Notamacropus eugenii: one gene and its partners. The protein of the gene in region 1 purifies or fractionates together with the protein of each later gene. This does not show direct contact. Links are inferred from orthologs where the notes say so. Each region holds a gene or a part of one and is shown on either strand. Other genes may lie near its edges. The genes, in order: NOP56, NOP2, GNL3 and BRIX1.

Region 1 (7,434 bases):
CTCCCAGCATGGGAAATCAGTCGGGCACCCACCTGGAAGGGGAGAAAAAAAAAGGTTGTGGTCAAGAGTATTCTTGATCCCACCAAACCCACTCTAACTCCAAGGAGAAAACAGGCAGCTAGGTGGAGCTACGAAAGTGACAATAGCTGTAAGGCAATAGTCCCCCCCTAGCACACACCCCAATGACTGACCGACTCCCCGATGAGTGCTGACAGGCTGGGGGCCACCTGGAACATCTTAGAGCTCAGATATTTGTTCAAACTCTGACGATACTCAGATAAAGATACCACTCGACTTGAAAAACTCTCAATATTGATCAGGTCAATGGGAGAGATGTCCATGCCTGGGAAAAACAAGGAGGCAAATTAGTGCACAACAGAATATCCTCTTCTCCCCCAATTGACCCACAAAGACCTCAACCAGAAACACTGACCCATAGAAGACCGAGATGCATCCAGGATGGCCCTGGCCTTGGCTTCATCCATTGTCAGCTCCTGCAGAGCTTCTAGTTTCTCCTCATTCAGTTCTTTGCGATTGCCAATAAGCCGGGCCAGGCGACAATATGTGGCGTTGTCACTAACAATCTTTACAAGCTCAGGAAAGTGATAGCCATACCACTCCCTGAAAAAAAGAGATGATCTTAAACAGAAAGAAAAGGTAGTAGTCCAGAAAAACCACACCTCACCCACAGCCCCAAACCCAATACTCTGGATTCCCAAGTCTTTACTGTCTCCCCTTTCACAATACAGCTAGAGCACAGGCAAGCTCCTGGCTGAGGTGTATAAGAGGAAGATCTCTCTGCCTCCTTTTTCTATACAGTCTGTGCAAAGTACAACACAGTCTGTGGTAAGCAACAGGAGGTGGTAGGGCTGGAGGAACAGTCCAAAATCCAGCCCCTGCTTAAACATCTGCCCCACCAAACCCTGGAGCTGACCTGACCCGCATAGAGAAGGTGTTTATGTCTTTGTCCAGCTGGTCAAGAAGGCTGATAGACTGGATGATCATGTTGTCCACCCTATTCACATTGAATTTGACCTTGGCCCGAGAGTAGCTGTGCCCTAGTCCCAGTTGGGCTTTAGAAGCTGAAACTTCAGTCAGACCTTTCACCAGAGAATGAAAATGCAGACGAACTCCTGGGAGAAAACAGGCAGAATAAGAAACTACCAAGCAGAACCCTTTTAATGTCCTTCAGAGCACAGGACCTGAATAGGATCTGGTACCCAATCAACTACCATATCAAGGCACATGACTTCCACGTGATTCACCTGAAATCTTACCTCTAAGGATTTCTGCCACTACACCACCTGTCTGGCAGGGGTAGCCCAATTCCTCTTGGATAGCAGCCCCAATCTTAGGATCCCCAACACCCAGCAAAGCTTTCTTCTTCTTAGCCGGCATGTTGGTTTCCAAGAAAAGCCGGAGGTCCTCATGGAGAATGCCTGTGGATAAGAGCATAGGTTAGAAGGGCACAGGGGACACACAAAAGATCACAGAAAAGAGGTGAGACCACTCACCTTCAGATACTGCATTAGCATTCTCTAGAGCACTGTGGGCGGACTTAAATGGGGAAAAGGCCACAAGCCGGACGATACTGTGAAACTTCCCAATGTTCAGCACACATGCCTCCACCTGTGGAGGGAAAGAGTGTGTAGGGCCGCTACAGTTGGGGGGGTCGGGGTTAAGGGCAGGCCCGATTTCCCATTTCCAGGGAAAAGCGGATACTAAACGTGCGCCCTGGGGCACACGGCTCCCTTTCCATGCTGGCTTCCCCTTTCCGCCCCAAGAAATGCAAACAAAGGCTAGGTTTTAGATCTAAGACGAGGCTGAGCACGTGGCCTTCCCTCCCGCGGACCGGGGCAGACACCGTGCTCAGAGACTAGGCGACATCACTCTGCTCAGGGGATTGACAGATTTTAATGCTCATCACAGCTCGGCGGCCGCTGCTGCCCCGGGGCTGGGTTGGGGGTGGGGACCCCGGCCCGCCCCTGCTTCTCTCGCCGGCCTCACCTGAGGCAGCAGCAGGCTAATCTCCTCCACCTCCTTCAGCGCCAGCAACGCGTAGCCGGCGGCGTGCTCGAACAGCACGTGCAGCAGCACCTAGGAGAGACCCAGGGAGAAATGAAGGGGGTTCGCGAAACCCACCTGCTCAGGCCCGGCCCGAGCACATGGCCCACCTCCCCGCTGCCCGCCCAGCTCCCACAGGCCGATCCCCGAAGGCCCTCCGGGAGGTCCCAGGGCCCCATGCTCCGCGAGCATTACGCTGCCCTGCTGTCCGGCGGGGAGCGCCCAGCCCCAGCCCACAGAAAGGCCGCACGCACGCGGCCCAAGGTTCGGCGGCCCCTTGGCCTCTGCCGGGCTGCTCCCCACCTCACACCCGTGATAGCTAAGTAGGCTCTAGTTCCACCGGCCGGATGACTCCCTCCACCCCCCAGCTGCACCGCACGGCGACCCTCGACCCCTGCCCCATGGCCCCCACCCAGCTCACCATGGCGGCAGTCTGAAGCCCCAATCGCAATGCGGGCCTCCCGCCGGACACGCAGGAACCCTAGCCTCACTAGCCCCGCCTCTTCCGGATGGAAGCCTCCACTCAGAACCCGAGGAAGGCACCATTAATTAAGGAGACCAAGGGGGAAACTGAAGAAAATGGCCTCGCCCGGAAGTAAGGAAGGGTCATAGGCGCCACCGCGGCCTCCGCGTGCGCGCTGCTTCCCGCCTTTCCAGCGGCGCTGGTGGGAGTGGGGCGGAGCTTTCGCAGACCAGCGGCCCTTGGGGGAGCGTAGCTGCGATCAATCTAATAGGTATTAGAAAATGAGATAACTGATGGGTCTCTGAGCCACGTCCACCTACGGGAGAGGTCAACACCCATGCTCGCAGGCTCAAGCACCACCAGCCTTTACCGCGGGAAGGAGGAACGGGGCAGAGCAAGTCTAACTCCAGTTCTCGCGATAACCTGTTGGCGTGCGTGAACTGTCCGTACGTTTACCCTCGCGCCCCTTACGCATAGCCGGCCTGCTTCCGTTTCCGGTCGCATATTTTCCCCGCCTCCTTCCGAAGGTCACCGCCTGGCAGGGACTGACCTGCAGTAGTGTTCCCACGTCGCTCTGCCCACTAGCGTTGTCCAGACTTGCCTCAGGGAGACGCTGGACGGCCCCGTTTCCCCAGGGCTGCCGGCCCAGCCCAGCGAGCCCGCGCTCGGTGGCCGCGGGACACGTGGCGGCAGGTCCCCGCGGAGCACAAGCCGGACGGTCCATTTATTGAGCGCCTCCTGTGCCAGGCCAGGGATGCTTGTGCCAAGGCCGGACCGAAACAGCCCCTGCTTTCCAGAAGGAAAAGCAGTGTGTTTGTGTCTGATGGCAGCCTTACCCAGGTGGGGAGATAAGGGCTAGGAGCGGCCAAGGTGTGTTGTGAGTCTTAGAGAAGCCCAAGTGCCTTTGGGGAACGTGCGGCCTGATAGGAATCCTGTGGGAAAAGGAATGCCACGCGTGGTGGCAGGCCTCAGAGCGCCGTGTCGAAGGACAGGACGGAAGCGATGCCCGAGCGTGGTCCTTGGGGCTCATGCCAGGGACGGAAATCCTTGGGCCAGGCGCCCCTGCATCTGTCCTCGACCCAGGGAATTACTGAGGCGGGGCTGGGCTACCTCCAGGGACGTGGCCTTGGGGCTTTGGGGGTTCGGCTCCACCGCCTGATGAGGGAGGAAAGGAAAAAAAATTGTTTATATGAGAACTGTTGTACGTTTAGCGGCAAGAGCAAAGCAGATTTGCAGTTTCATGTGCAGTCATCTTTTTTATTTACCGTGTTATGGAAGTGTTTGTTTTGTTCCCGGAATTTATGAAAATAAATTAAGATTTTTAAAAATAAAAAGCAAAGTGTACAACTACATACACATACAAAGCAAATGCTGGTTAACCTTTGAGGGGAAGACACAGCAACTGAGGGAACCAGTTACATCTTCTGTTAGAAACTAGTACTGGAGACGAGTCTTAAAGGAAACCAAGGTTTCCAAGAGCCAGAGTTGAAAAGAAAACATGTTAGAAAGGGATGTAAAGTGCAAAGGGGCAGAAGGGAGATGAGGGAAAGGGTACCGGTGTGGAGTGTGTGTGTGTGTGTGTGTCTTATTTAACAAGAAGGCCTAAATTACTGGACCACAGAGAGTGTGGAGAAGAGTAATGTTGAAAGGAGTTTATATTTGATCCTAAAAGTAATAGGGAGCCACTGTATTGAGTAGAGTGGTGACAGAGTCAGGCATATGCTTTAGGAAAATGACTTTGCTTGTGTATGGAAGATGATTCTAGTGAAAAGGAACTTGAGGTAGAGAGGCCATGCTGGAGAATGTTGCAATAGTTCAGACTTGGACGGGGGCAGCTGAGGGCTGGAGGCCACAGGTTCCCCCGTCCTGGACTGGGGTAATGGCTGTTCTGTGCCAGTATGAAGAAATCACCTACACCTGCTTCTATGCAGAGGTGAGCTGTCCATTAGTATGAAATAGAACATAGGACAGATTTTTTTCCACGTTAATTGGTTGTAGATAGGAGGGATGTTGAGGAGAAACAACAAATTTGGATATTAGATAACTTACTGCGTATGTGGGAAGTTAAGAATGAGAAGGCAAGGATGATCCCTCACTTTTGATTGATTATGGATCTTATTTATTTAGGAGGTTTCTTTGCTGTTCAAGAGTTTTATTCATCCACAATGTTATTTGCAAATGGAAATATCTGGAAAGCCTTATTATACTTTGATACTTACTTCTTGGGTAATTTTTGGCCTTGGCTTTCTTATCTGTAAAATGGCAAGGTTGGATTAGATGACTTCTAAGTTTCTTTCAGTTTTATCTCCATGATCCTGTAATGGAAAACCCTCTTCAATTTATATTCTGTGCTAGTCATCCTCCATGGCAATGGCAAATACTTTTGATGAGGCCATAGCTCCCTGTTTAATGCTTTCCTTCCTATTAGTAACCAGATAGCATGTTATAATGAACTCTTTAGGTAGGGCCCTAAAAAGTCAGGCCTAACAGCTGAATTCTAGAAAAAGACTGTTGTAAAACTGTTTGGATAGAAGGGTGGTTATTAATGTAAGTGAGAATTCAGTAATGATGAAATTACACTGTTCGTCAGATGGGCAGCCACTTATGTATGTCTCAGGAACAGTCAATCTCCAAGCATTTATTAAGCACCTACTTTGTTCCAGGCACTGGGCTAGGTGCACAGTAAATCTAGTACAAAGAATGAAACAGTGCATACACAAAAAGATGTTTATACAGTCTAATTGGGAAGATAAGAATATTTAAAAGTACATACAGAAGAAATATAAGGAGAATAAAAATAGTTAAACACTAGTTATTGTGGTAGAGAGCAACTGGAGTTGGTTAAACAAGGGAGTAACATGATCAAGTCTGAGCTTTAAAGAAAATCACTTTGGCAGCTGTGTGGGATAGACTGTAACAGTGAGAGTCTTGAAGCAGGGAGACCAAACTGTGAGAGGTTGTTGCAAAAGTCTACACAAGAGATGATGAGAGTGAGCCAAGGTGATGGCTATGTGAGAAGAGAGAAGGGCTGGGATGTAAAAGATGGCAAGATTTAGCAGCTGATTGGGATGTGAGGTAAGGGAGTCTGAGAAGTGGAGGATAATGCTGAGATTATGAACCTGGGAGACTGGGAGGATGGTGATGCCTTCAACAAAAACAGGAAAGTTTGGAAGAGGGGAAATAGGTTCAGTTTGGGATGTATTACATTGGAGATATTCAGTTTGAAATGTCCATGAAGTACTTAGTAGATGTGGCAGTGATGTTTAGAGGAAGAACTGGGCCTGACTGTAAGAGTAACAGCTTCCATTTCTATAGGTCCCTAAGGCTTGCAAAGTACTTTCTTCCCCACAACTCTATGAAATGGGTATTATAAGCATTATTATCATTTTTTTGAATAGATGAAGCAACAGGGAGTGGTAAAGTGACTTAACCAGCATCACCGAAATAGTAAATAAAGGTGGAATTTAGTATCTAGATCTAGACCTGGAACGGACCATAGAGGTCATCTGGTCTAACCCCTTCACATGCCATAAGTCACCCAGTTAGTAACAGAATCTGGATTCAAATTCAGGTCCCTTGACCAGGATCAGTGTTCTTTCCATTACACTACTACCAACACAGCCAAGCTGCCCAGGAAGGGAGGTAGGCAGACCTCTCATTCTGCACAGCTTCTCAGGGGTTTAAGGCCAAATATAAGATCCCAGGAAGAAAAGATGACTAAAATTGTAGACATCGAGGATCACTATAACCTAATGAATGGGTTAATAATAAAGCATTTGTTAAGGTTTTATTGTGTGCAAAACATTGGAGATACAAATAGAAAAGACAGTTTCTGCTCCCAGGGAGCACACATTCTAATGGAAGCTTCTGGTTCAGGTCCTATAGAAAGGTCCATTGGCAAAGAAGTTGGTAATGCATCTTCTTTAATGGATTTAAATGGATATAATCATCCCTGTATTCTGATTTTGAACAACTTGACAATGTCAAGGACTTTAGTATTGAGAGCTTTCTTTTCTGGGTGTTTAGTAGAAGGGGCCGCAGATCAGACTTTAAGCGGCAGAAGCATTTACCACATCCTACCTCTATAGGGATTGTTTGCCAGGATGATGGATGGCTTCACGGCCAGGTGGGAAGCAGGATCAGTGCTCTAGGGGAGGACTTAGGGTTCCTGGGCTTACCCACTCATTGGTAACAGTTGGTCACTAGTCAGTGGTAGCAAGGAAGGTAGGCCCCTTCTCCCCAGGGATTACAGCATAAGCCCCCAAATCATTCCTTTCCCGCTATGGTGCCTATAATATTGGGATCCTATGACCTCTGCATGTGCCAAAAGAGCCAGAATAATTGAGGGAGGGTTGCCATAGGACAGATTATATGAAGACAGACTGGAAATCGTGGGCAGTGTCTCCTTAATCTGCAAAGAATCATCCATTCCCTCAGCCATTATTTATACAGTACAAACTATATAAGATGGGAAGGACAGCCACATCATGAAAGGGACTGAGAAGGAACTGGCATTTTCTCAATCCCTGACCTGAGAAGTAAAGGCCCTCTTTCCCCTAGCCTTATCAGGGGAAAGCTCACAACCATTATAAGCCTTTTGAAGGGGATCTTAATGGTGAAGTAGATGGGTCAGATTTGTTATACACTCCAAGGTCTTAAATCCTTTGGCAGGAAAAAAATTGCTGGTTAAAATGCAATTTGCAAAGTGCAATTGCTACATGATTTTATTTAAATCAAGCACATTAGTCTGCTGACTAAACTTCATCAGTGCAACCCAATGGTAAAAATAGCCCTTGTTAATTTTTAATAGACTTAACCCCTAAAATGATCTTTTAATAAAAGAGGAAAAGGTCCTATATGTACAAGAATATTTCTAGCAGCTCTTTTTGTGATGACAAAGAGCTGGA
Region 2 (7,891 bases), on another chromosome or scaffold:
GCATAGAAATAAAATTATTGATAGCTACTAGGAATCAGAAGTTAGGTCTGAAGAAGCTAAAAGGGATTCACTGTACTTACTATACATTTTTCCTCTAATATACAAAAGAAGACTGGACTTGAAGCCAAGAGACCAGGGTTCAAATGCCATTTATACTCTTTGCTGAAGGACCATGGGTAAATCATTATCTCCAGTTTCCCCATCTGCAAAATGAGGAAACTAACACTTGTACTACCTACCTCAAAGAGTTGTTATGAGGGAATACTTTGTAAATCCTAAAAAAGCAATCAAGGCACGCTCTAATTTCTTTTGAAATGGAGATAGGGATATACCTTATTGACAAGAACACTACACTATAATAGAAGACAGAGGGACCTAAAGAGAGGGATGCCTGAAGATGAACAAAAGCAACAAAAACAATTCAATCCAATTCAGGGAGTTTTGAACCCTGAGAATGGCTCTCTAGTGGTATCACTGGTACTCTCATTTACTAGGTGGAGACATAACGAGTCTTTTGGAGAGTAAATGCAGCTTGTCTTATTTTTTTAAATCCTGTCTTGGCCACCAAGGTAAATGGATTTTAAAATGATGGAGCCTTATTCTATAATGGAAAAAAGGAACTTCTACATATTCATCTGCCTGGTTTTCTTCTCTAACTCTTAAGAAAGAATGAGCCTGTAAAAGGTCTGGGGACAAGATAAGAAATGGTGACTGGTAGACTGCCAGTGGTGGTCAGCTTTCAGGCAAACCACCATCTTCTCCCTGCAAAGGCATCTAAGGATCACAAATAATATTTTTTTTAGGGGGGAGGAAAGGATGACAAATGTGCTAATCCTCTAACGTTTTTTTTTTTGGTTTTACCAACAAAATCACTAAATAAAAAGAAAAGGAATAAATAAAAAGAGGAGGAATGAAAGCTGAAGACAGATTCACCAGAAAAGACCACTCTTTAAAACACCCAAAAGTCATAGCAAGAGATGCAATATTATTTCTCCTATTACTTATTATATTCCACCTCACCACCTCTTACACATCACCATCCTTCTCAAAGCCGTCATATCAAAGATACATACTAATATGCAATACTGAGGAAAAGATACACAGCCCCTAAACTACCCACAAATAGTTGGCTCCAAACCAAAGAAAGTTGGCTCTTCTGCTGTACTATTGTCGTCAATAATAACTTAAGGGTCTTATACTAGTCCAGGGAGACACAGGGAAGCTTATAACGTCAAAGCGAGATGACAGTACAAAACTATACCAATCAATCAACTAATATGTATTGAGCATCTTACTATGCTAAATGAATTTTAAGGACTTTTAAGAAGCTTGGAATCAGAAAATCTGGAATCTATTGACAAATTCTTCATTGCAAGGCCTTGGAGAAGGCTCTCTTTAGGCATCAACTACATCATCATTAAGAAGGAAGAGAATTATACATTTTAACATTACTACAGCCTTGAATTTAAACAGCATTTTTCTTTTAAAAGGCTCAAAGAGCTACATACACACACATATTACTTCACTAATCCTCAAAAGATCCAGAAGCAAAGGATCTGGGGAAATTTACACTACACTTCAGAAGTGGGGGAAATCGAAGCAGAGAGATAAGTAATTTGTCTGAGGTCACACACAAACAAGAACTCAGAATTCTAACCTACCATACTGCTACTAAGGGATAAATAAAATGATGATGCTAGTGCCACCAGAGTATCACCCTATCACAAAAGTCTAAGTAGAGAGACCCTCTCCCTTGATTTCCCCACTAGAAATAACAGTCACACATTATTAGAGTCTCAATTTCTTTTCCCAAAGAAGACACAATCCTTTTATATAGTTTTTAGAAAGAAACCCTTATTCATCAATCCACTCAACAACCACTTATTAAGCATCTGGTATGGACAAAGTCCACTGCTAAGTATTGGGGAATATTTTCCTTAACCCAGCCCACTTGATAGAAGAGAATGAGAAAATAATTTTGAGTTCTAGATTTATACCTTCTTATTTCAACATATGGCTTTAACATGCTTGGAAAACTCCTGTGAAGAAAAGATGCTAAGACATATGTCAGCAAGGATAAAAGTTTTTTGGTTTTGTTCTCCCCACCCCAGCAGAAGAGCAATAGAGGGAACTAATGGGAATGTAAGAACCAAGTGAGTTTGGGGGGCTATAAAAAGACTAATGGCTAGAGACCACATAAACTGAGAAGTCATACAGAGAGAAATAAGGCTTGAGCTTCTGCCTATACACTTCAGTTCAGTGCCATCAAGCACACAAGGAACTACAAAGAACAGTCAAATAAGCAAATGGAATTGAAGGAATTTTTCATGTATGTCTCAAAAACTGTCCCTACTCTGTTGAACAGGAACCACTGTTCATGTCCAAACAAAACAAAAGGACTATTCCCAACAAACAGCCTGCCATCTAGAATAGCAGTTCCTGGTCCAGCATCCTCAGGATTCTAAATTAGTAGAGGTATCTTTCAAAATAGTTTCTCCTTGTGCTGGCATTCTCACTAAGAATAATGGTAAGGCACATATGGAAAAGGGAAATTGGGTCCTGGAAAGTCTGGGGTCTCTAGAAAACAGGTCAGTAATGGCCGTGGGGAGAAAACTTATCTCTGACAGAGACAAAGCCCAAACTTAAGTCATTGTTAACTCAGGGTCCTAAGGAAAGTAAGCCTTACTGAGCCCCAACTCTGAACTCTCAGCATCTGATGTTGCCTGGGTCCCCAAATTACAATTCTCTAGTGACACACACGGGTTACTAGAATCTCTCAATCAGAAGATTTACCCTAAACCTCTACACTCCTAAGAGCAAAGAAAAAAGCTCACTCCATACTGCCCTAAACTTAGTTCACAGTAGTTACCTTACAGTAATGGATGCTATGTATTCAAATTTCTTTCTGTTTGTAAAAACACGTCTTGTTTAGCTTTACCACAAAATAGTCACTAGCTTACTCTACCAAGGTATCTCAGAACACTGCTTCTTTCTACCTGTCGGTCTTACAATCTAACAATTATAAAAAAGAATCGTACAATTCTTTCACTATGAAAGAATCTTTTTTTGGCTAGCTCTATATTAAATTCCAAACCTAACTCTCAAGCAAATTCAATTCTCAATTTCTTTCAAACTGAGCCCCAACTCTGAACTCTCAGAATCTGATGTTGTCTGCGTCCCCAAATTAAAACTCTCTAGTGACACACACTAACTACTAGAATCTCTCAATCAGAAGATTTACCCTAAACCTCCGCACTCCTAAGAGCAAAGGAAAGAAGCTCACTTTAAGCTGTGCTCACTCCAATAGCAGGAAATCACTGCTGAGCAATGCCACATGGGAACACAAATAGCATCTCTTTAAATGGCACTGTGACTATCAGAGGTGGTTTAACTTGGGGCTCCCAACCCTAACTAGTCTCTTGATGAACAGCCTAAAAGAGCCACCCAGACCAACATAGTGAGAATCTCCAAAAGCTAGTCTGAATACCATTTTCAAAACTGGAGGAAGTTCTAAACTGATCTACTACAGGCGGACACTTCGTATAAAGTGTCGTGCAACAACAAAAGGCATTATTAACTTGTTACCTAAAGAAAAACATTCAATATGGGTAAAATGACCTTCTCTTCCCCTCTTTATGTTAAAGGTTTCTTACCCTCTCTCTCCTCCTCCTTCTGTCCTATTCCTCCTCCTCCTCCTCAAGGCTCCCGAACTTTCTGAAAACAAAGTGTCTGTGTTAGAATGGTCAAAAAGGATGTAATTAATGAGATGTCGGGACCTCTGAGGATTTCCAATCTGTCAGCTGTCAGTCTGGAGGGAAAGCAAAATTCCTGCCTCTAACCCAAGAGAGGGAAGGTTACAAGCACAGGAATTTGGTCACTAGGAAAAGGATTTAATCCCTACTAAAGAAGTTGAACTATCTTCACCATTTCAGCATGAGGTGAAAGGCACCCCCACACACGCACCCCACAAGAGCAAAGCTTGGACACTCAATTCCTTCTCACAGGCACCCAAGGGGCAGAAGCCAGGAAAAAAGGAGGTTGGGAAGGAGGGGGAAAGGGGACAGTCTGGTCACCTCCCACCTGTGAGGACAGAAGACAAATCTGGGGACAACTAGGATGGGGGCTCCCCAAGTTCTCGTGCCAGGAGGCAGAATGCCTAGTGCAGGCCTAGCCACTCCCACGGGCCATTCCCCCCCACCCCAAGCCCCTGGGAGGACTTTGCCCCTCATCTGTCAAGGGCCCCATTCCAGGAAGCCCCTCCGGCTCCAACCTCAGCCCCTCCCCCCCACAGGGCCCCCTCTGCTCTGCTACACCCCTTCTTCCCCCTAGGCAGCAGCTAAGAGTCTCCCCCCACTTGCTCACGCCCCCTTCCTCTGAGCCCTTCTGGGACATCGGATCCCTCCCCTCCAAGAGCCCAGCTCCAACACCCACCAGAAACCCACCCCCTACACCCCCACTCCCACCATTCCCCCCGCCCCCCACCCCTGCGCCCGCTACTCCACAACCACTTCCGGTTCCGGGAGGGGGGGAGAGGCACACACAGAGCCCCCCCACCCCCTTCGGGACAGGGAGGAGGGCACACGGAGCGCGCCGGCAGCGGCGGCGGCGGCGCCGCGAGACTCACCCGGCTCCAGCGGCTGCAGCAGCAGCAGCGGCGGCGCGAGAGTCAGAGAGCGGCTCGGGAGGGGGCGGCGCGTGCCTTTTGCCGGGAGGAGGCAGAGGGGTGGGGGGGAGGGAAATGGGATGAGGGGAAGTGGAGCTCGAGAGAGCGCGCGCACTCGGGGCGCTGGGCGGACTGACGGACCCTCCTGCCCCCCACCCCGGAGGCGTGTGTACTCACGGACGGACGGACACACACACCACACACACACACACACACACACACACACACACATACACACGCCCCGCTCCACACACCCGCAGGGCGGGGGCGCGAGGCACTGGGCGCCCCCCCTCCTCTCCACTCACCCGGAAGTGCTGCTGGCGCTCCTGCACTGAAGAACCCAGATTCCTCCCCTCCCCACCCCCCTCCCTCCCCCCTCCCCCCACAGGCCTGGAGAGGAGCCGCTGCGGCGAGAAGGCGGGAACACCGGAAACGAAGGAGGGGTGGGGAAAGGAGGGAACTGGGGTGGGAGGAGAAGGAGGGGAGGGTGCAAAGGCCCAGTCACTTCCGGGAGCGACTAGAGCGATTCTGGTAGTACGGGCACCTGGGGAGACGGACACCCCCGAGGCGGAAGTCGGGATGAATGAGGGCGGAAGTGGCTTCGTCGAAGGGCAACATTTCAATGGTCAGAGGTGAACGTGACGTGAACCGGAACTAGCGGGGGTAAGTAAGGGCAGAAATGAACTCACTATCCCTAGGGGGCATTTGGCGCGTGGGGGCGGGACTTCTGGTTGAGGGAAGGAGGATCTTCGTCTCATGAATTATGAAGCAGTCCTCCTAAGGTAAGTGGAGGGGGTTGGTGCGTTAAAGGGCGAGGACCTCATTTCAGTTCGGCCCACGTTCAAGGCTGTATATACTTGGTCGTGGTCTAAAGACAAAAGAGACTAGCCCTGCGCCTAAGGAGCTCCCGTTCTCTTGGGAGGGTGTAATATGGCCTGCGACCCGTGGAGCTGCGTATTTGCGCCAGGCTGACTTAACAGCTTCGGATGTTGACCCCCCCCCCCCACTTCTCGTGGGTTGGGTGCTGGATTTGGTGCCCCATACCCGTATTCATGACTCTCGTTGTGCTTTTGATTCTATGTTGTGGTGGTTTTCAGTGAGAACGTGCAAAAGTTGTAGTTCTTAAAAAGCACGCTTCAGTGACTCTTAGAAGTACTCAGCCACTATTTGTGTGGGGAAATCATGTTTCAATGGTCATTCAAGTCCCAGTGAAACAGGGTGGTGTGTGTTCGTCCAGGCCATCAGAGACATGGTGACAGGACTTGCATTGGACTTTGTTTAAAGGGAGGGAGGGCTGTGCAGGTCACCAGCCTCACTTCTCCTCCAGAGCCATCTGAATCCAGTGACCAGATATTCATCAGGATGACTGGAGATGACCCAGGATGAGGCAGTTGGGGTTAAGTGACTTGCCCAAGGTCACACAGCTAGTGAGTGTCAAGTGTCTGAGGTGAAATTTGAACTACTCCTGCACTGGTGCTCTATCCACTGCACCACCTAGCTGTCCCAATGAAACAGGATCAGTTGCACTGGTTTAAAAAAAAAAAAAGAGGAAAACAACACAGAGAACTGACAAAATATTACTACAAAATAGCCTGATTAATTCCCAGAAGATAAGCACAGACCTTCAGAGAACCCCGGGTTTGGGAGCTTTTACTGATTCCTTTACAACGTGGCATAAGCTTTTGAAAGTTGGAAGAAAAGCAAAAAAAAAAAAAGTTGCTAATTATTGTTATGAATTAAAAACTGCTTATGGTGGGCAAGATAATACAAAGACAGATGAAGATTAGGAAAAGGTAATGTTTTTTTCTTATGAAACTCATCTTTTTCATTCAAAGTTTTATACCAGAAGTCCAGATAAACCTGTAAAACACGTGCATCTTCATCAAACTGTTAAACCATCCATTCCTCCAAAAAAATATTTTGGAAATCTTTTTACTTCATCAGGAGTGAAATTCTTATCCCCAATGTAGGAATGATGAATGCTGGCAACTATATTATACTGAGAAGCTGAATTGTTCCAGAAGTATTAGGAAAACTTACCTTGTATATATGTCACAAAAGGATAAGGATTTATCTAAGACAGAGATAAACATGTTTCAGTGACCTGGAACTGACTTATTGAAAACTTATTAGTTTGACTATGGTTTGTGACAGGTTTTATTTTTCTTGCTTTTTCAATCAATGCAAGAATTGGGGGGCAGGGTGTAGGAGGGAGAGAATTCAGAGATGAAGATAAAATTTTAAAAAACCCTATAAGCAGTAATCAAGATTAGATTTGGGGAAATGAGCTATTTGTTAAAGTTATGCTTAAAATCCAGTGTGATAAAAGTGTGACTTCCTGTTAAATTAGAGAATGTGTCAATATCTTGTGAACTCAGTCCAAAAACATCTAAAACAAATAATTGCAGCCAAAGAGGGTATATTTTATATTAAAAACATTAAAGATATAAAATTTTGTAAGAATTATTGCATCACTCAATAAATTTAAATTATTTAAATCACTGTAACTACAAACATAATGAGGATACATTATAAGAGGAGAACCCACAGCTGTTCTCCTAATTCTGAACTTTGATCTGCTGGAAAGTTCAGAGTGGTTTGGGAACTGAGGGAAGGACCACTGCAATGTTTTCTTTTTCAGATCACTAAAAGGCTGGTGACTCTCCTCCCCTTGCTGAAGGTGTGTCTTAGACATTTCAAGTGGGAAGAGTTAAGTTCCTAGTGGACCCTAGAGAGGGGTTAGATTTGTGCTGGGGAGTGCCTCCCTCCTTTCTCCCCCTTCTCATTTTAACTTGAGAGACTTCTAGGGCAGTTAGTTGTCGTGCGTGCCCAGGAAGTGGACAAAGATACGTTAGGGGGAAATAAAGCTTTGGCTACCAGAGAGGTGAACAGAAGAAGGCTCTGAGGGTCAAGCATCAATTCAGATCTCTATCTGTAATGATGAGGGCACCAGCAGAGCTGAGACTGCAGACAACAAAAGCGGCAATGGTGTAAGCCTGTAGTTACTTTGCTAGGGAAGAGTCTCATGCTAGGATGAATGTTTTGGCAAAGAAGATTGAAGAGGAAAAGATTCAGCTGGGGTGTTGGGGGGATATCAGCCATCTTGAATCAGGGAGACGTGATCACTCAGGGCCAGCGAAACCAATTTTTCTCAAATACTGAGAAAAAGAAGCCATTTGCTGTCAGGTTCCTCTTCTCTGCCTTCTTTTCTCACAAAGTCCCTTTCCA
Region 3 (7,769 bases), on another chromosome or scaffold:
CCCTGACCTGGACAATCTATCTAGTCAAGGAGATCATATCTACAGAGGAAAAAAAATAATCAGGCTAACATATACTTAAGAGAATGCCAAAAACTAAACATCACCACGATGTTGGATGGTATCACCTTTGGCAACTAGAAAGAATGAACATTTGCCTAGGCTGAGGTCAGAGTTGGATCTTACAGTCTTCAATGGTATTTCCAGACTGATAGATATTTTCCTCATACCTCACATCTTGAAGAGATAAGGGTCATCTATTAATGAGCCAATCTATGGCTTACCTGTTTTATTCAAGACAAGCAACAGTTTTTTATTCCCTCCAGTCTTTGTAATGACTTGTTCCACCTGGGGACATCTACATCCTAAGGGATCTCTGGCATCCAAAACTTCCAGCAGAATATCTGAGGCCTCAATCACCTATGGGAACAAAGTTTAGAAACATACAAATGCTTGGAGGACAATACGTCCAAATTTTGTTTTCAACAGAATCACTCCCAGTTCCTCTACCAACCTCGTCACCTTCCTTCAGTTGACCCAGTTTGACAAATGTTATTATTAAAACGAGACTCTAGAACCAAATATTACAGGCATAGACTAAATGTAGAATATAGCCAGATCTTTCTATTCATGTTACTATGGCCTAAAATCATATCTTTTTTGACTGCCACATCAGACTTTTAATGCATACTGAGTTTCCAATCTACTTCAACTCAATAAATGGGTTCTGAACAAGAAATTGGCTATGATATGCTTAGGAATAGAGAGCTGCTCTTCTAACCATTTCTAAATCACAGCAGCATTTTCAGTTATCTCAATTTTCCATCTCTTACTGACGTGACTATTTGTTTAAGATGACTCCTAATTGGTAGGTCAAGAATGTATTCATACTACAAATATTTGGATATCCCATCATGAATGTGAAAACTTTTCACCTTTTCCTACATCACAGAAGTTAATACGAATCTTATCTTTTTAAATATTAGTCAAGAAAGCAGCTATTCAGTGGGGAAAACCTAGAAATAAGATCTCAGGTATTGAAGGATTTTTTTCTCCTGATCTCAGTGGGAAGAACAAAATATTATAGAGCTACCCACACGGTAGATAAATTAGAAAGGAAAAACTAAACTTACTTCCTTTACTTAACCTCTACAAAGATCAAGAGGGACAAATGTCAGCCCCATTCTAGGAATCAAGGACACAGGCCCATGAAAGGAGTGCGCCTCTCTAGTCTATTAAGCGTGAGTCAAACGTCCCTTCCAGCGACATGTATGATCCTAGGAACCTTTAACAGTCACTTTTAACATATTAAGAGAAAACCGGCACCTATTGGGAAAAGTACCTTTTGAAGTTCTCTACAAAATGGCTTTTTTGAAACCTGCTTGACTGTTCTGCGTGACAGCTTTGCCTTTTTTCCCACAAATTCCTAAATGATGCAGAGAGAAAAGCAGGACAAAAATCAGTATTTTACAGAATGACGTAGGGAATAAAACACAATGAAAAGGCTGGCCATTTTTTACTCTTGCACGTTCACGTTCCTCTAATAACACAGTGAACCCCGTAAGAAACTAGCCTTTCCCCCCACACGTCTCCATCCCTAGGAGTCCCTGTCCGAGTCATCTGGGCTTGGGCGATCCTTGCCCACCAGGTCTCCTGCAGACCCTTGGCTGAGGCCCTCTAAGTCAGTTGGCATTGGCCAAGGGCGGGCAGCGCTGTGCAGCCCGGGCACCCACAACCCGGGGGGGGGGGGGGGGGGCACTGACCCCTGCCCCCCAAAAGCAAAGCCAACCCTACCGCTTCCGGGGGCTGGGTCTCCGCAGAGGGAACGTCCCTGTCCTCCCTTTTCCGCTTCTGCCTCTGCTCCTTCAGCTTGCTGAGCTTCTGCTTCTCCTTCAGTTCTTCCAGCTGCTCTCAGGCCCAGAAGAACCGAGTCAGGGCGGTGGGACGCCCCCGGGACCGCGCCCCCGCCCCCCCCTCACCTGCCCCCGCCCCCGCCTCACCTGCCCCCGCCCCCGCCTCACCTGCCCCCCCCCCCCCCCCCCCCCCCCCCCGCCTCAGCCTCACCTGCCCCTGCCCCCACCCCCGCCCCCGCCTCACCTGCTGCTTCCGGCGCGCAGCCTCGCGGAGCAGGGCCTCCTTGAACGGGGCGCTGCCGGGCACGCCGGGGTCCTTCCTGGGCCTTCGGGCACCCCCTTTCCGGGCCGCCTTCCGCGCTTTGCGGTGATGCTCCCGCACCTGTTTCAACAAGTCGTTGGGATGGGCTCGGAAATTCCCGAGGTCCCGCCTGCTCGGCGAAAGCAACTTAACGACCCGGACCGGGCCAGACCGGGCCGGACCGCCCCGCGCCGGGCACGTCCCAGGGTGATCAGTGCCCCCCGGAGCGGACCACGACACCCACCTTTCTCTGGATCTTAAACCGCTTACGGCACGTCATGCGCTTACTCGCTTTTCTTAATTCTGGGAACAAGACAATTCAGAGCCGGGTCAGAACCGGGCCGGTGCTCCCTCGTACCTCCGGGGCAAGGCCCAAGGCGTGACCTGACCGCGCGGCCCGGACCGTTCACTTCCCTGCCTTTCGGCCCCTCCGCGCCCGCAGACGAGAGCGTGGCGCGGGGGTGGCTCGATGCGGGCGCTGCCCGGCCTGGCGGGCCGACCACGCCGCAGGGCCCGAAAACCCACCGAGAAGGGGGAAGGGCGAACCCAAGGGGCGCCTCGGCCCAGCGCCGGAGCCCGCCCGCCAGGCCCGCCGGCCGGGGACGAGCGCTCCGGGGCCCCGAGGCTCGGCTCGGCTCGGCTCAGCTCAGCCCAGGCCGCCCCCGCCCCGCAGGCCGCCCGACCCCGCCTCGCAGGCCGCTCCCGCCCCGGCCGCCCCGGGCCCCGCAGGCCGCCCGCCCGGACCACGGACACTCACTAGGCCGCTTCATGGCGCTGAGGAGGAAGCCGCTCCGCGTCCGGCCGGCTCGCACACCACGTGCAGACTGAGGCGCCGCGCCGTCACGACGTGCAGACGCTGCCGTAAAGCGCGCCCGTGCCCCAGCGTCCGCCCCGCCCGCCCGCCCCGCCCCGCGCCAGAACCCGGCCGGGCTCGCGCTCGCGCCCCCGCGCCCTTCGCTCCCTCCGGCGCGGCCCTGCCCCCTCACCCCAGGGCGCGCGCACGCGCACGGTCGCGCGGGGCCGGTCTCGCTTGGCGGCCGTGCGGCTGGCTTTGCGGCGGCGGCGGCGGCGGCACCAGGAGGGAGTCGGAGCCGAGCCGAGAGGGTCTGAGAGCAGGAGCGGGCCGAGCAGCGGCAGCGCCAGCCTAGCCGTGGCGGCCACGGGACGGGGCGCGGCGCCGGCGGTCGGGGACCGCGGCAGGGGCTGCAGGCGGCGGAGCAGCTGGGTAAGGCCGGGGCTCCGGGGAAGCGGCGGCCGCCGAGGAGGCCGCGGCCGCCCGGACGGGCCCCTTTGTGTGGCGGCCCCGGGGACGGGGAGCCCGGCCGAAGCCGGGGGGCCGCCCGCCGCCGCCCGCTCCCCCGGCCCTGCGAGGCGCCCCGCCGAGGACAGGGCCCCCCTCCCCCACCCCCGCCGGGTTCGGGGTCCCCCTCTTCGGGAGGGCCCCCTTCCCGCCTTCCCCCGAGATTCCTGAGTTTCCTAACTCTTCCCGACGCCCCCCTCTCGGGCTCCGGCGCCTCCAGCTTCTGGTTCTGTGAAATGGGGACGAGTCCCGCCCGGCCGGGCCCTCGGGGCCCCGGCGCTCCGGATGTCACCGGGGGGATCCCGGGGCTGGGGAGCCCCCCGCCCCCCCGGACCCGGCCGGACCGAGGCAGCTCAAATGGTGCGAAAGTTGAGAGTTCCAAAGAGCCCGCCACCGGCGGCGGAGACTCCCCCCTGCTGAGCGGCTGGGCCGGGCTGGGGTCTGGGCGGGGGGCGCCTCCCGCGTCCCGTGTCCCCCCAGCTCTGCTTCCCGGCGGGGGACCCTCCTGCGGCATCCCCAGAAATGAGCTGCTCCGTCCTCTCCCCAGAATGCTTTAAGGGGAAGGGCCGGCTCCGTGCTGGGAGCGTCCGGGAGGGCGCCCGGGATTTGAACCCAGAGCTTCCCGCGCGGCGGGGTCTGGTGAAAGATGTTGGAAGGAGGGGCGCTGCGGGGGGACGGGGGGACTCGAGAGGTGCGGGACGGTGAGGGGCCTCCATCTGCGGGGTCCAGGCCTCGTCCCGGTCCAGCTTGGTGCCCCGCGCTGCACCGGGGCCTGGGCCCCCGGGGGGCAGGTTGTCTTGCGTGGGTCCCCTTGGGAATCCCGCGGGCTGACTCCGCAGGGTGTCGGCGCGATCTTGAGGTTCGTTTTGTGAAGAAAGTGCTTGTGTGCGGAGGGGTGCGCGGTGTGTGCGGAGGGGCTCTGAGGGGTCTAAAGTAGAGCTGCTGCCTCTGAGGGGGCTGCGGTGGTGGGAGCGGTGCAGGCGAGTGCGAGAGTGCCCAGGCTGCTGGGCCGCCCCGGGCTCTCTGCCCCGGGCTCCGGCCCCCGCCCCGGGCTCGCTGCCCCGGGCCCCTGCCCCCTGCCCCCCGCCCCGGGCTCGCTGCTCCGGGCCCCGGCCCCCGCCCCGGGCTCGCTGCCCCCGCCCCGGGCTCGCTGCCCCGGCCCCTGCCCCCTGCCCCCTGCCCCCCGCCCCGGGCTCGCTGCCCCCTGCCCCTGCCCCCGCCCCGGCCCCCGCCCCGGGGTGCCCGGCCCTCAGGCAGGCGGCACCCCGCTTCCCTCTTAGCCCCCAAGTTCCTGGCCGCGGCCCGGGCTTTTTGGACGTCCAGAACCGAGCTCCAGAAACTGCCCTTTGGCACCGTGGGAACAGCACCCGCGAAGGGTTCCACATTTTCTTAAGCTGCATAAGTAAATAGCCACTTTTTAAACAAGAAACGTACTTTTTCGTGGACACTCCTGGTTTTTGAAGGTGCCTACAGAAAGTACTCTCAGAAAGTAGAAGTTTGGAGGTTGTCCTCAAGTGGCTTTCCCCCCGTATTTTAAAACTTAGGCCTCAAGTCATATTTTCTATAGACTTACCTAGTTATGTCCTAAAAACCGTAGCCGGACAGTTGGTTAAAGAAACGAAGTTGATCCAAGCACCTCTCGGTGACTGAAGATTTCTCGTTACTCTGTGAAGAAACCTTTTGGCAGGAATCGGTTCCCTAGGTGTTAACTAGTGTTCCTTTGTGCAGCTCTCCGTGGCATCCCTCTTCAGCAGTTCTGCTTCAGTGCTTGCTGTCTGTTCTCGCTCCTTTTACTTCCTCTGACCCTTCCTTTTTATTTTCCCTTTTCTGTCTGTTCTTTTTCAGTTCTGAGCCTAGTAACAGCTCTGCCGACTCAGCGCTTGTAAAGCTCTGCCTTCTCCCACTAGCTTGCCCTGGCCTTCAGACACAATGAGGAGACTGGCTTTTCGAGGCGCTGGTTGTACTCTGGTAAATCTGGTAAATCTCTGGTCCTTTACCCACCCGCTTCCTTTCTCCTGTCTTCCCCTGCTCGCCCTTCACTGCTGGCTTTGGGCCGACCCTTTAAGGAGCCCTTTCTTCTCTTCATCGGACTCCTGGGATTGCTGTTTTTGGATTGCATCAAGAGTATTTCATTATTTTTATGATATATTGAAAGTTTATCCGATTTTTTTAAACTTCATATTCCTGACCTATTTATATGAAATACCTTTTACCCCATTTAAACATTCCACACCTAACCGTAGACCTGTTTATACAGGAACCAGTACTATTGGGTCATTTTTTAAAAAATACCTTTACAAATCACTTTGAGTAGATAAACATTAAAAACTCAAAGTGTAGACATTCTTCCAGGGGAGAGTTGTGAGAATCCCCCATTTTCCTCAGTTGATCATTTGTTTCTGCCCCTATAAGAACCCAGTAGAAGGCTTGGCTTATAGCCTGGCAGAAACTTTAACAGCACTTTTCCCCAATGTTATTGGCAGCCAGGGTGTTTCTCCTTATGTTCTGACTTTTCCTAGTTTCACAGGAAAATGGAACGTGAATAAGTGGTCTAGAATCTTTAGTTTTAGAGCAGGGTCCTTGGAATCTCAGTTGATACTGGGATCTTCCAATTAAGTTAAATAAGCAAATATGAAATACTTCCTCCCTCCACCCCCCTTTTAAATTTGTCAGTCTCATCTGTCTTTAGCAGAGATGCAGTTAGTAATTACAACTCCCATGGTAGAGACGAGTATCTAGCAACAGCCCTGAAAGTTAAGTAGAAATTCAAATGCTGTTTCTTCTGTCGAGTGAAAAATTACAATAAATGACCATGTTATTTGTTACAAGTATGAACATTAACTAGAATTTTCCGTTATTAAACAGTTGATAAAACCTGTTGACCCTCAAAGGTCATTCCTAAGGCCTAACGTCAAAAAAGACCAATATATTTTCACTTCCTAATAAATACCAATAATAACGTAACACATTTGTGAAATACAGCATTTGTACTTTGGTCTTTTGGAAGATTGCTCTAGGTGGGCACGCTGCTGGCTGTAAAAGTCTCATCAGCAGGCAAATAGCAAAAGAATACAGTTATCAGGAGGAATTTGGAGTTGAGACAATCTCTGCATGGTTTACCGTTTAAATGCGGGCCATACGACTTAGTTGTCTTGGAGAGTGTTTTATATTGAGAGTAGGGTGTTTTCTGCCTCCAAAACAACCAAGCTGTTACTGACCTTCAACTGTTCATGACTAGATGTCACTGCCTTTTGTTTGATTCATAAGCAATTGACTTTTGTTTTAAGCAACCAAGTCGTAGTTGTTCTTAACATGATCTGTATTTGTGTTCTAGAATCTCAGGAACAGTTTATAATACCTCCCTTCTAGATATTATCCATAATGGCTTTGGCACCATGATAATGTTACCAGTGGAAACATTTGTTTGACTTTATTTAGAGAGAAGGAAATAATAGGGAGAGATGCCTAGATGTGTGTCCATTCCCTCCACCTACCTGTCCCATACCTGTGTCTCATCCTACGTGATTCCTATCCATGTCTCCCCATAAATCCTTCACTGAACATTCTAGAGGCCACCTCTGAACATCTTGGGCCGCCCATCTGCTCTTTCATTCTTGATACATTGTTGCCTCCATCTTTAATCTCCTAGGAGAACAATGGTTTTAAAATCTTTTGGAAGGCTGCTGCACGGTGCTGGACTCCTCACTGTAGACTAAGCGTTGTATTCCTGGGTTTCACCCTCCTGCCAAGTGATCCTTAATCTTTAGTTCCAGAATGCATGAATACAGTAAAACCTTACTAATTTGGTCTCAGTGAGGAAGGGCAGTCTGAATTATAGACTTTTTAAAGAGGTACAGTTTTGATAGTTCCAGCTATGAATAAGAGCAAGCCAAACTGCACTTCTGTGGATCCTGCCTGAATGAACAATACGTAAATGTTGCTAAAGGATTTGAGAATAAGTAGACAAAATATTCCCTAGTCCTCTGTAGTCATGGATGTGCTGTTCATTTGCCTAAGGTTTAGCTTAGCCTTGGTTGAATCAGTCCAGCTTAATGAGCTTTTACTGTATCTGCCCCACTGCAGTTGATGTGCAGCTGAAGGTTGCCTTTAATTAAAAGCATTGTTCTTGCAATGAAGCTTTTCAGTCATATAGCCCAGCACCTTGCACTGAAATGACTTGAGTGTTGCTAAACTTTTTACAACTACAATGATGTGCCTTAAATGAATCAAAAGCTTGGTAGCAAGTGGTCCCCAGAGGACTTTGCTCCCAAGTCCTCAATTTAAATATAAGAACATTACTAATTGTTTTATTATAGAA
Region 4 (7,293 bases), on another chromosome or scaffold:
AGGTATGGGGAGAAGGGGATGGCTACAATAAATACTGTAGACACAGAATCAGCAAGACTTGCCAAATGAATTTCATGAGGGGTGAGAAAAAAATGGAGAAAAAGGATGCAGACCTGAAAGACCAGAAGCAGGACCCTAAAAAGAAACAGGTAAGTTAGTAAGAGGAGCAGATTTGCAGAGAAAGATGAGCTCTGTTTTATATTTGAATTGTCTACAGGTTATCCACCTGGAGATATCTTCACAGGTAACTGGTGATAGAAGACTTGAAAGATATTCTTCCAAGCATATAGTTTCAACTACCACCATTCAGAATCAAAAACTCCAAAATCCCTTTTATCAGATTAACCTCTTCTAATTTCATCTTTCCCTTACCTCTGCTAAACCTACTAATTATCATCCCTGTGCCTTCTGATCCCAACCCTCGATACTTTCTCAAGCTATCTAACTCTGATTTTCTGCTTTGGCTCCACTTTATTGCCCCTTCCCAATCTCCACTTTATAGTTGGCCAGTTCAGCATTATACTGTTCCTTGACCCCTGACCCTATCAATCCTCATGGCTTACCAAACCTATCCATGGATTATTTTCATCATCTGCCACTTGCTTCCACTCCTGTTCATATGCTGAAGACTGGAGATATGCAGCATCACACAACCAAGCTGATGGAGGCCAACACTCCACTTCTCAACTCAGTACCTTTGCAATGGCTGTTCTAAACACCTTCTTACGTCCTCCTGAAATCACAGATTTAAAACTGGAAGAGACCTTAGAACAAGTCTTCGAGTCCAACAGCCTCTTGACAGCTTGTTGCCTACAAAACTTGGAGCAAGTGCCACTTTCTACATTCTTTCCTGATCTCTCCAGCTGCTAGTTCTCCTCCCCATATCTATTTTGTATACACAGTCTTCTCAAATAGAATATAAGCTTCATGATGGCAAGTACTATTTTGTCTTTGTACCCCATGCCTAAAATAGTGCCTCAAAGATAGGAGAAACTTAATAAATGCTTGTAGATGGATAACTAAATCTCCAGTCTCTCCAACTTCTTATATTTCTGCCTGTTATACCTCAAACTAATGCACCTCATTTCTATTCCCTCAAACAAATTTCTCCTCAGACTCTTTTGGGTATGTTACCATACATTTCTGGCACTAAATCTTAGGAAATTCTCTTACTCTGTAAGCCCCCACATCCAAACTGCCCATTTTTTCCTTCATCTCCATATCTTCCTTTTTATTCTCAGTGTCAACACCCAGATGAGGTCAATAATCTCCTAACTGTTCACACTGCCTCCAGAGCTCCAGCTCTTCAATATATCAAAACACCATGGCCAGATTAATTTTCCCAAAGTTCTTCTTTGGCCACATCACTCCCCTGGTGCTTCATCGTTTACCAAGCCCCTTAACTCCTGACAGTCTAACTGCATCCTCCCTTTCCTAATTCAACTCTCCACCATGAACTCCTCACTCTTTCCAATCTGAACTCTATTTTTCCCCAAAAAACACACATGGCACTTGTGCCACTCTGACACATTTGTTCCTGTCAGTCACCTTCTCCAACTGAAGTTGTTCTTCTTCCCCTACAGAAATCCCAACACCCTTTCAAGGCCAATTTAAAAGGCCTCTCCCCCTCCTCTTCCTCTGCACTCGCAGCACATCTGACCATTTAAGTGAGCTGCACACTAGCTCCACTCTCTCTCTCCAGACCCATTCACCCCCAATGGTCCACACTGCAGCGTCCCCCTCTCACATGCTCTGCCCTTTCCACAAACCCTGGCCGCATCTGGCTCCCCTGGAGGTCCAGCTCACGGGCCACAGCGGACCTTTCACGACTCCCGGATGTCAGCTGCCCTTTCGTCCTCCGTGACCGTGAATTTCTGGATGGATGTTTAAAATCCCTAAGCCCGAGCACAACATCTAGGGCCCAGGAGGCCCCGAAGGAAGACGCACAGCAGAAATCCTGACTTATTTTGGAATTTCTCCAGAACCTCCGTCAAGCTCGAACCTCAGCGGTGGTCCAGTAAGACGTGGTCCAGTAACAGAACCACCTTAAACAAACCCCAACGTTCCTCTGCCTACAACCCGTCAGGGCAGGGAAGAGCCCTGTCAGAGGCGGGAAGACCTAAGTTCAAATCCTGCCTCGGACGCTAGCTGTGCCACCCTGGGCAAGCCCCTTCCTCTCGGGGTGCCCCCGCTTCTTCAGCGGAGAACTGGGGTTAACAACAGCCCGGACACAAGGGGCAGGGATGCCCACACACCTTCGTGCCCCCCCACGCCCCTCCCCAATCCAGCTCTTTTGTAGGCCGTGGCACCTAGCTGTTCGTACGTTGTCTGAACTCGTGTGGACTGAACTCCTTGCGCAGGGACTGTTTAAAACAAACATGCTTAGGACAACGCCTGGCATGCAGTAGGCGCTTAATAAGTGCAGGCTGACTTGACAGGCCCTTCGGCCTGCGCTCCCAAGCGACAACCACGTGCGCGGGCCGCCGCGAGCCCGGCCTGACAGCGGACAGGGGGGCCGAGGGCTGCACCGCGCCGAGTATCGCCAGGCCGCCGCACCCTGGCGGGGAGAACACCGGGTTGGGGTCACGCGGGGGCCCACGCTCCCACGCGAGACCCTCAGCTGCCGCTCGTACCTTGGAAACGGGGCCCGGGATGCGGTACTCCTCCTCTTCCTCTGCCTTTTTTGGGGCTGGAGGGGGCTGTTTGGCCGGCGCTCCGGCCTTTTTTCCTTTTCCTTTAGGCCTCTTCGCCTCGGGACCCCCTCCTCCATGCCGCTTCCTCTTGACGGCCGCCATCTTGCCCAGACCCCCTTCTTCCGGCGGTCGCACGTTGTTCATTTCGCCTTCCACTCCTTGCCGCCTTGCCTCTCTCTCCTCTTTCCCGTCTCTATGGTACCAAAAGCGTTTGGGGGCAGGGCAGGGGGCGGGGCAGAGGGCGGGGAAGGGGGCGGGGTGGAAGCACATGCTTCCTCCGTAGCTCAACCCAACCCCGGTTTTCCTTTACGGCTGTCGCACTGTGTAGTCGTGGGGTCTGGGCAAGCGCAGTAGAACCAAGCCAAGACTCCGACACTTCCCGTCCGCCTCGGAAGCCGGAAGTGGGGCTTCCTTCCGGCCTTGGGGGCGGGAAAAACGGTACACCTGAGGCCGGCCTGCACTGGAGGGGCGGAGGGGAGCCGAGGCTTCTCGGAACGCTGCGAGGATCGTACGGGACTGGGAATTTATTCCTACCCACGGATATTTGGGCTAGTGAGGCACTGAGCTAGGAGTGGGGCCGCGGAGACAAACAGCCATTGCCCCGGAGGAGCCGGAGGTGGAAATAACGCTTAGATGAGTCGATACGAGAGAAAGGGAGGAGGAGAAGGGAGCACCCAGCACCGGGAGGGATCCGGAAAAGCTTCCGTAGGAGGGGACCCCTGAGCCGCGCCGGAAAGGAAGAAGCGAGGAGCCGGAGGACCCCCCCGGTGTGTTCCGTCTCCTCCCTGGGTCGGGGCGGTGTAGACAGACAGAACCTTTTACCCGCCCTAGCGCTGTGCTCCGTTGGGAGCGCCACGTGAATACTGGGGAAGAGCTTGGATCTGAGTTCGGATCCTTGGTGTGCCAGCTTTTTAACCGGCGAACCTCTCTGGGCCTGTTACAAAGATAATAACGGTAGTAACGGGCGAAGCGGTTTAGAAGCGTCGCCTCTGGTCCTCCCCCTACCCTGGGACGTGTTTTTATTCCCATTTTATTTTATATCATATTTTTATTGTATTCGGACTCATTTTTATTTTATTTTCTCATTTATTTTTACATTATGTTTATTTTCATTACATTTATATCCTCATTTTTATTTTTTCTCATTTATTTTCATATTATATTTTTATTATATTTATACTCTCTTTTTTGTTTTCTCATTTATTTTTATTCTCGTTTTATACGAGGATACATATTTTATATGAGGAGACCCTCATTTTATATGAGGAAACTGAAGCAGACAAAGATTAAGTGACTTGTTTTAGCTACACTGCGCAACCTCCGCTTTATCTGTAAAATACGGTGTTTATTCTGAACGATCTCTGGGAATCACTCCAGCTCTAAACCCCATGTTCCTTTCACGGGGAATGGGGAGAACTTGCCTAGATCCTGGCTTTGACTCAGCTGAGATGTAGTTTGGGACAAGTCACTTCCCCTGACTTAATGTTTTGTATAAAATTTATACTATCATCAGATACTTTGGAGTAGTGGATAGAGAACTAAATTTGGAAATCTGAAAGACCTGGATTCAAGTCCTCCCTTAGAAACACATCTGCCAAGTAACCTGGGCAAGTCACTTCACTTTTCAGTGCTCCAAGCAGCTTTTTACAATTATAAATTGTAGACTACTTGTCTGTCTGCATCTCTAGAGTGAGTTTCTGCACCAGGACTTTTTCAAACTAATGAATTCACAGGTCTGGCACCCCCCCCCACCCAAAAAAAAAATCCAAGTTGTGATTGTGAAATCATGTGAAAATGTTTTACAATGTGAATATATTATTTTATTCTTAGAACAGCCCTATGGGAGTCAGTTAGGGCATTTTTCAGGAAACATCCTCAGAGAAGTGACTCCCAACTTCACAAGTCCTTTAATAGCACAACTCACACTTTAGTCCAGGCCTCTTGATTTCTAATTTAGTAATGTTTCCATTACACATTTTTTTTTCTCCTGCAGTTGGAGGGGGTGGAGTGAGAGGTAAACAGTTGTGCTTATACATTTTGCTAAGAAAACAAAATTGGTTGGCAAAAAAAAAAAAAACATTTTTGGAGGGGGATACAACTGAAGCAATTCTTTTCTGGAGTCACTGAACTCAAATTAGATTTTATTTTTGTTATAGGTTACCAAGGCAGACAGCTGATTAATTCCAGTTTAAATTAGGAAAACCCAGTGGAAGGAAACTTATGTGGAATAGAAAATGCCACTTACCACACAGACTGAAGATGGAAGCGATCAATATATTTTAGTTGCCAGCCTTGACAATGTAAGGAATCTCTCAAACATATTAAAAGCTATTCATTTTAAAGACCATGCTACCTGTTTTGCAACAACAAATGGAATCAAGGTTACAGTGGAAAATGCAAAGTGTCTGCAAGCAAATGCATTCATTCAGGTACGAGGGCAAGCATACTCTTACACTATTCATTCTTCATCTGTTGTGAATGGGTAATCTGTTAAATTGGTACTAGGGAAAGAGCACTGAAGTTGGGAGTCAGAAGTCACAAGCAAGTCCTTTTATCTCTCTGTGCTTTAGTTTATTCATCTTCAAAATAAGAGGTTTGGGTCTGATGACCTTCGGGGTCCCTTCTAGCTTCTCATCTGTGGTCTACAAAATGAGGGTATTGGACTACATGACTTCTTAGATCCCTTCTAGCACCAGTGTTGTAGGAATCCTACATAATATTCACAGATCGAAATTTAAAATTAGCTGAAAGGATTGTCCAAGTTCTTTCCCTATCCTGTATTGTTGATTGTAACACTTTTTGAAATATCTGGTTTTTAGATAAAGCTTAGGTATCTTTGTTTTATAGAAATTTTGCTTGTGATAGGTGTTAGAAACACTCTTGACACTAAAAAGGTATCAAGGAAAATTTATTACAGTAGAGTTCAGAGGAATTGAACACTTTGACCAAAGCACCCCGCCTTCTTTTCAGGAGGAGAGAGTGCTGAATACAGAAGTGAGATGAGCCATATACTGTTAGTTCAAGACAGATCCTCCCACCAGGAGATGGATTGGTCCATTCTCCATTAAGTCACCATCTTCTCTACATGCTCATTATGTAAGCCCCCTTAGTGTGATTCCCCCTCCCAAACATGCTTTAACATAGGACCCATGTTAGAAAATGGAGGGATAATTTTATGCTGTGTCTGCTTATATCCATGAGGTTCATTAATCAAGCACAGTGAAGGAAACCTTCTCCAGGTAACTCTAGGTCATTTTTCTTGGCTACTTTCAGCTAGCTGTGGATTTGGTTCCTTTATCAAAAACTGATTTTCTAAAGGCCACTGTCTCTCTTTTGATTGGTTGAGTCCACCTGCAGTCTTCTGGCCTTATTATCTAACTTATTCTCAATGACTTCATCAATTAACAGTATCTTAGTGTGAAAACTTCTCCTCACTCTCACAATAGGTTTTGTGGCATATTGGCAATCAGAAATTAATCATGTATTTTTACAGATGAAGGTCACTCGTAGCCTAGGCTACCTCCTTTGTGTTTAGGGGCTCTGCAGAGAGAGTGGATGCCTCCAGAGCATTGGTTGGACCATTTTTGTGTAAGTGAGCTAGAAGAGAGTTCTTTTTTGCCTGGCAGCCCAGAAATTAAATTTATACAGCAATTTGGTGGGTATTGGAATTCAGGGACCTAATAAATGCCAACTTAAGAATCAGAATTGTTTGTAAGTTTAGTACAACCCCCTAATTTTACAGATGAGGAAACTGAGGCCCAGAGGGTAATGGGACTTGCTGAAGTTTTCCTAGGTAGTAAATGGCACAGCCAAGCTGATCTACTTTCAAATACATGGAGTGTGAAATCTTTGGAACTATATGTAGAGTAGTTTAATTCATTAGTATAAATGGCCATACTTATATTTATTTATATACCTCTTTTTTTTTACAGGCTGAAATATTTCAAGAGTTTATTGTTCAGGAAGAATCTGTAACATTTCGAATCAATTTGACAGTCCTTCTAGACTGTTTGACAATTTTTGGTTCAACTCCTTTACCAGGTATATCATTGTTACTGTCGTGATATAACAATATGAAGAACTCGTCAATTCAGGAATGATATTTAGAATTACGAGAATTCATTACTCAGAAGTCAGTGGTGCGTTTTAAAATTTTAGAATGTTTTTGAAAAATACCAGGTGTTTTTATGACCCTTTTCATATTTGCAGAGGTAATTACAATCTTTTTAAATATATTAATCACTCGGGAATTAAAACTGAAATAACCAAAAGACTTGAAAATGGCCCAGATTTTTAATTTTTGAAGTTATTTGAATAGCTTAATTCTAGCTACATTGTTGTTATAATGACTTATTAACATTATTTTTAAATATGCTTATGGTTGTTTTTTAAAGCAACCTTTTAATAGTTTAATACATTTTCCTGCACTCAGAATTTTAAAGTATTAACTTCCACTTCAGTTTTGGAATTTTAAAGAAATGGCAAAAATGTAAAATATCATATAGTTCATTTGATGTAGATGTAAAATCACAAAAACTCTTCAGGATTATTTTGGACTCTGGGCAGGTAAATTTTTTAGCTCCATAGCAGCTTAATATTG

The links.
Region 2: the proteins of NOP56 (region 1) and NOP2 fractionate together in Homo sapiens (co-fractionation; 3 studies listed by BioGRID and IntAct, with this or other methods). This does not show direct contact. The link is inferred for Notamacropus eugenii from reciprocal best matches to the Homo sapiens genes NOP56 and NOP2.
Region 3: the proteins of NOP56 (region 1) and GNL3 purify together in Homo sapiens (affinity purification with mass spectrometry; 4 studies listed by BioGRID and IntAct, with this or other methods). This does not show direct contact. The link is inferred for Notamacropus eugenii from reciprocal best matches to the Homo sapiens genes NOP56 and GNL3.
Region 4: the proteins of NOP56 (region 1) and BRIX1 purify together in Homo sapiens (affinity purification with mass spectrometry; 3 studies listed by BioGRID and IntAct, with this or other methods). This does not show direct contact. The link is inferred for Notamacropus eugenii from reciprocal best matches to the Homo sapiens genes NOP56 and BRIX1.

The regions. Positions count from the first base shown.
Region 1 is NC_092877.1:46,628,002-46,635,435, forward strand, and holds the start of NOP56 (nucleolar protein 56), read right to left. Parts: upstream 3,003-7,434; 5' UTR 2,489-3,002; coding exon 2,486-2,488; intron 2,098-2,485; coding exon 2,008-2,097; intron 1,630-2,007; coding exon 1,515-1,629; intron 1,440-1,514; coding exon 1,278-1,439; intron 1,134-1,277; coding exon 935-1,133; intron 864-934; exon of another isoform or gene 725-863; intron 622-724; coding exon 434-621; intron 344-433; coding exon 192-343; intron 33-191; coding exon 1-32. UniProt on the Homo sapiens protein: Involved in the early to middle stages of 60S ribosomal subunit biogenesis. Required for the biogenesis of box C/D snoRNAs such U3, U8 and U14 snoRNAs. Part of the small subunit (SSU) processome, first precursor of the small eukaryotic ribosomal subunit.
Region 2 is NC_092874.1:194,961,434-194,969,324, forward strand, and holds the start of NOP2 (28S rRNA (cytosine(4447)-C(5))-methyltransferase), read right to left. Parts: upstream 3,002-7,891; 5' UTR 2,966-3,001; exon of another isoform or gene 2,939-2,965; intron 1-2,938. UniProt on the Homo sapiens protein: S-adenosyl-L-methionine-dependent methyltransferase that specifically methylates the C(5) position of cytosine 4447 in 28S rRNA. Required for efficient rRNA processing and 60S ribosomal subunit biogenesis.
Region 3 is NC_092872.1:1,727,985-1,735,753, forward strand, and holds the start of GNL3 (guanine nucleotide-binding protein-like 3), read right to left. Parts: upstream 3,009-7,769; 5' UTR 2,922-3,008; coding exon 2,909-2,921; intron 2,455-2,908; coding exon 2,396-2,454; intron 2,233-2,395; coding exon 2,095-2,232; intron 1,903-2,094; coding exon 1,792-1,902; intron 1,424-1,791; coding exon 1,340-1,423; intron 418-1,339; coding exon 282-417; intron 231-281; exon of another isoform or gene 154-230; intron 1-153. Other genes in the region: PBRM1 (protein polybromo-1), read left to right, coding at 5,381-5,428, 7,768-7,769. UniProt on the Homo sapiens protein: May be required to maintain the proliferative capacity of stem cells. Stabilizes MDM2 by preventing its ubiquitination, and hence proteasomal degradation.
Region 4 is NC_092875.1:426,527,710-426,535,002, forward strand, and holds the start of BRIX1 (ribosome biogenesis protein BRX1 homolog), read right to left. Parts: upstream 3,015-7,293; 5' UTR 2,964-3,014; coding exon 2,634-2,963; intron 1-2,633. Other genes in the region: cell cycle checkpoint protein RAD1, read left to right, coding at 4,928-5,122, 6,626-6,734. UniProt on the Homo sapiens protein: Required for biogenesis of the 60S ribosomal subunit.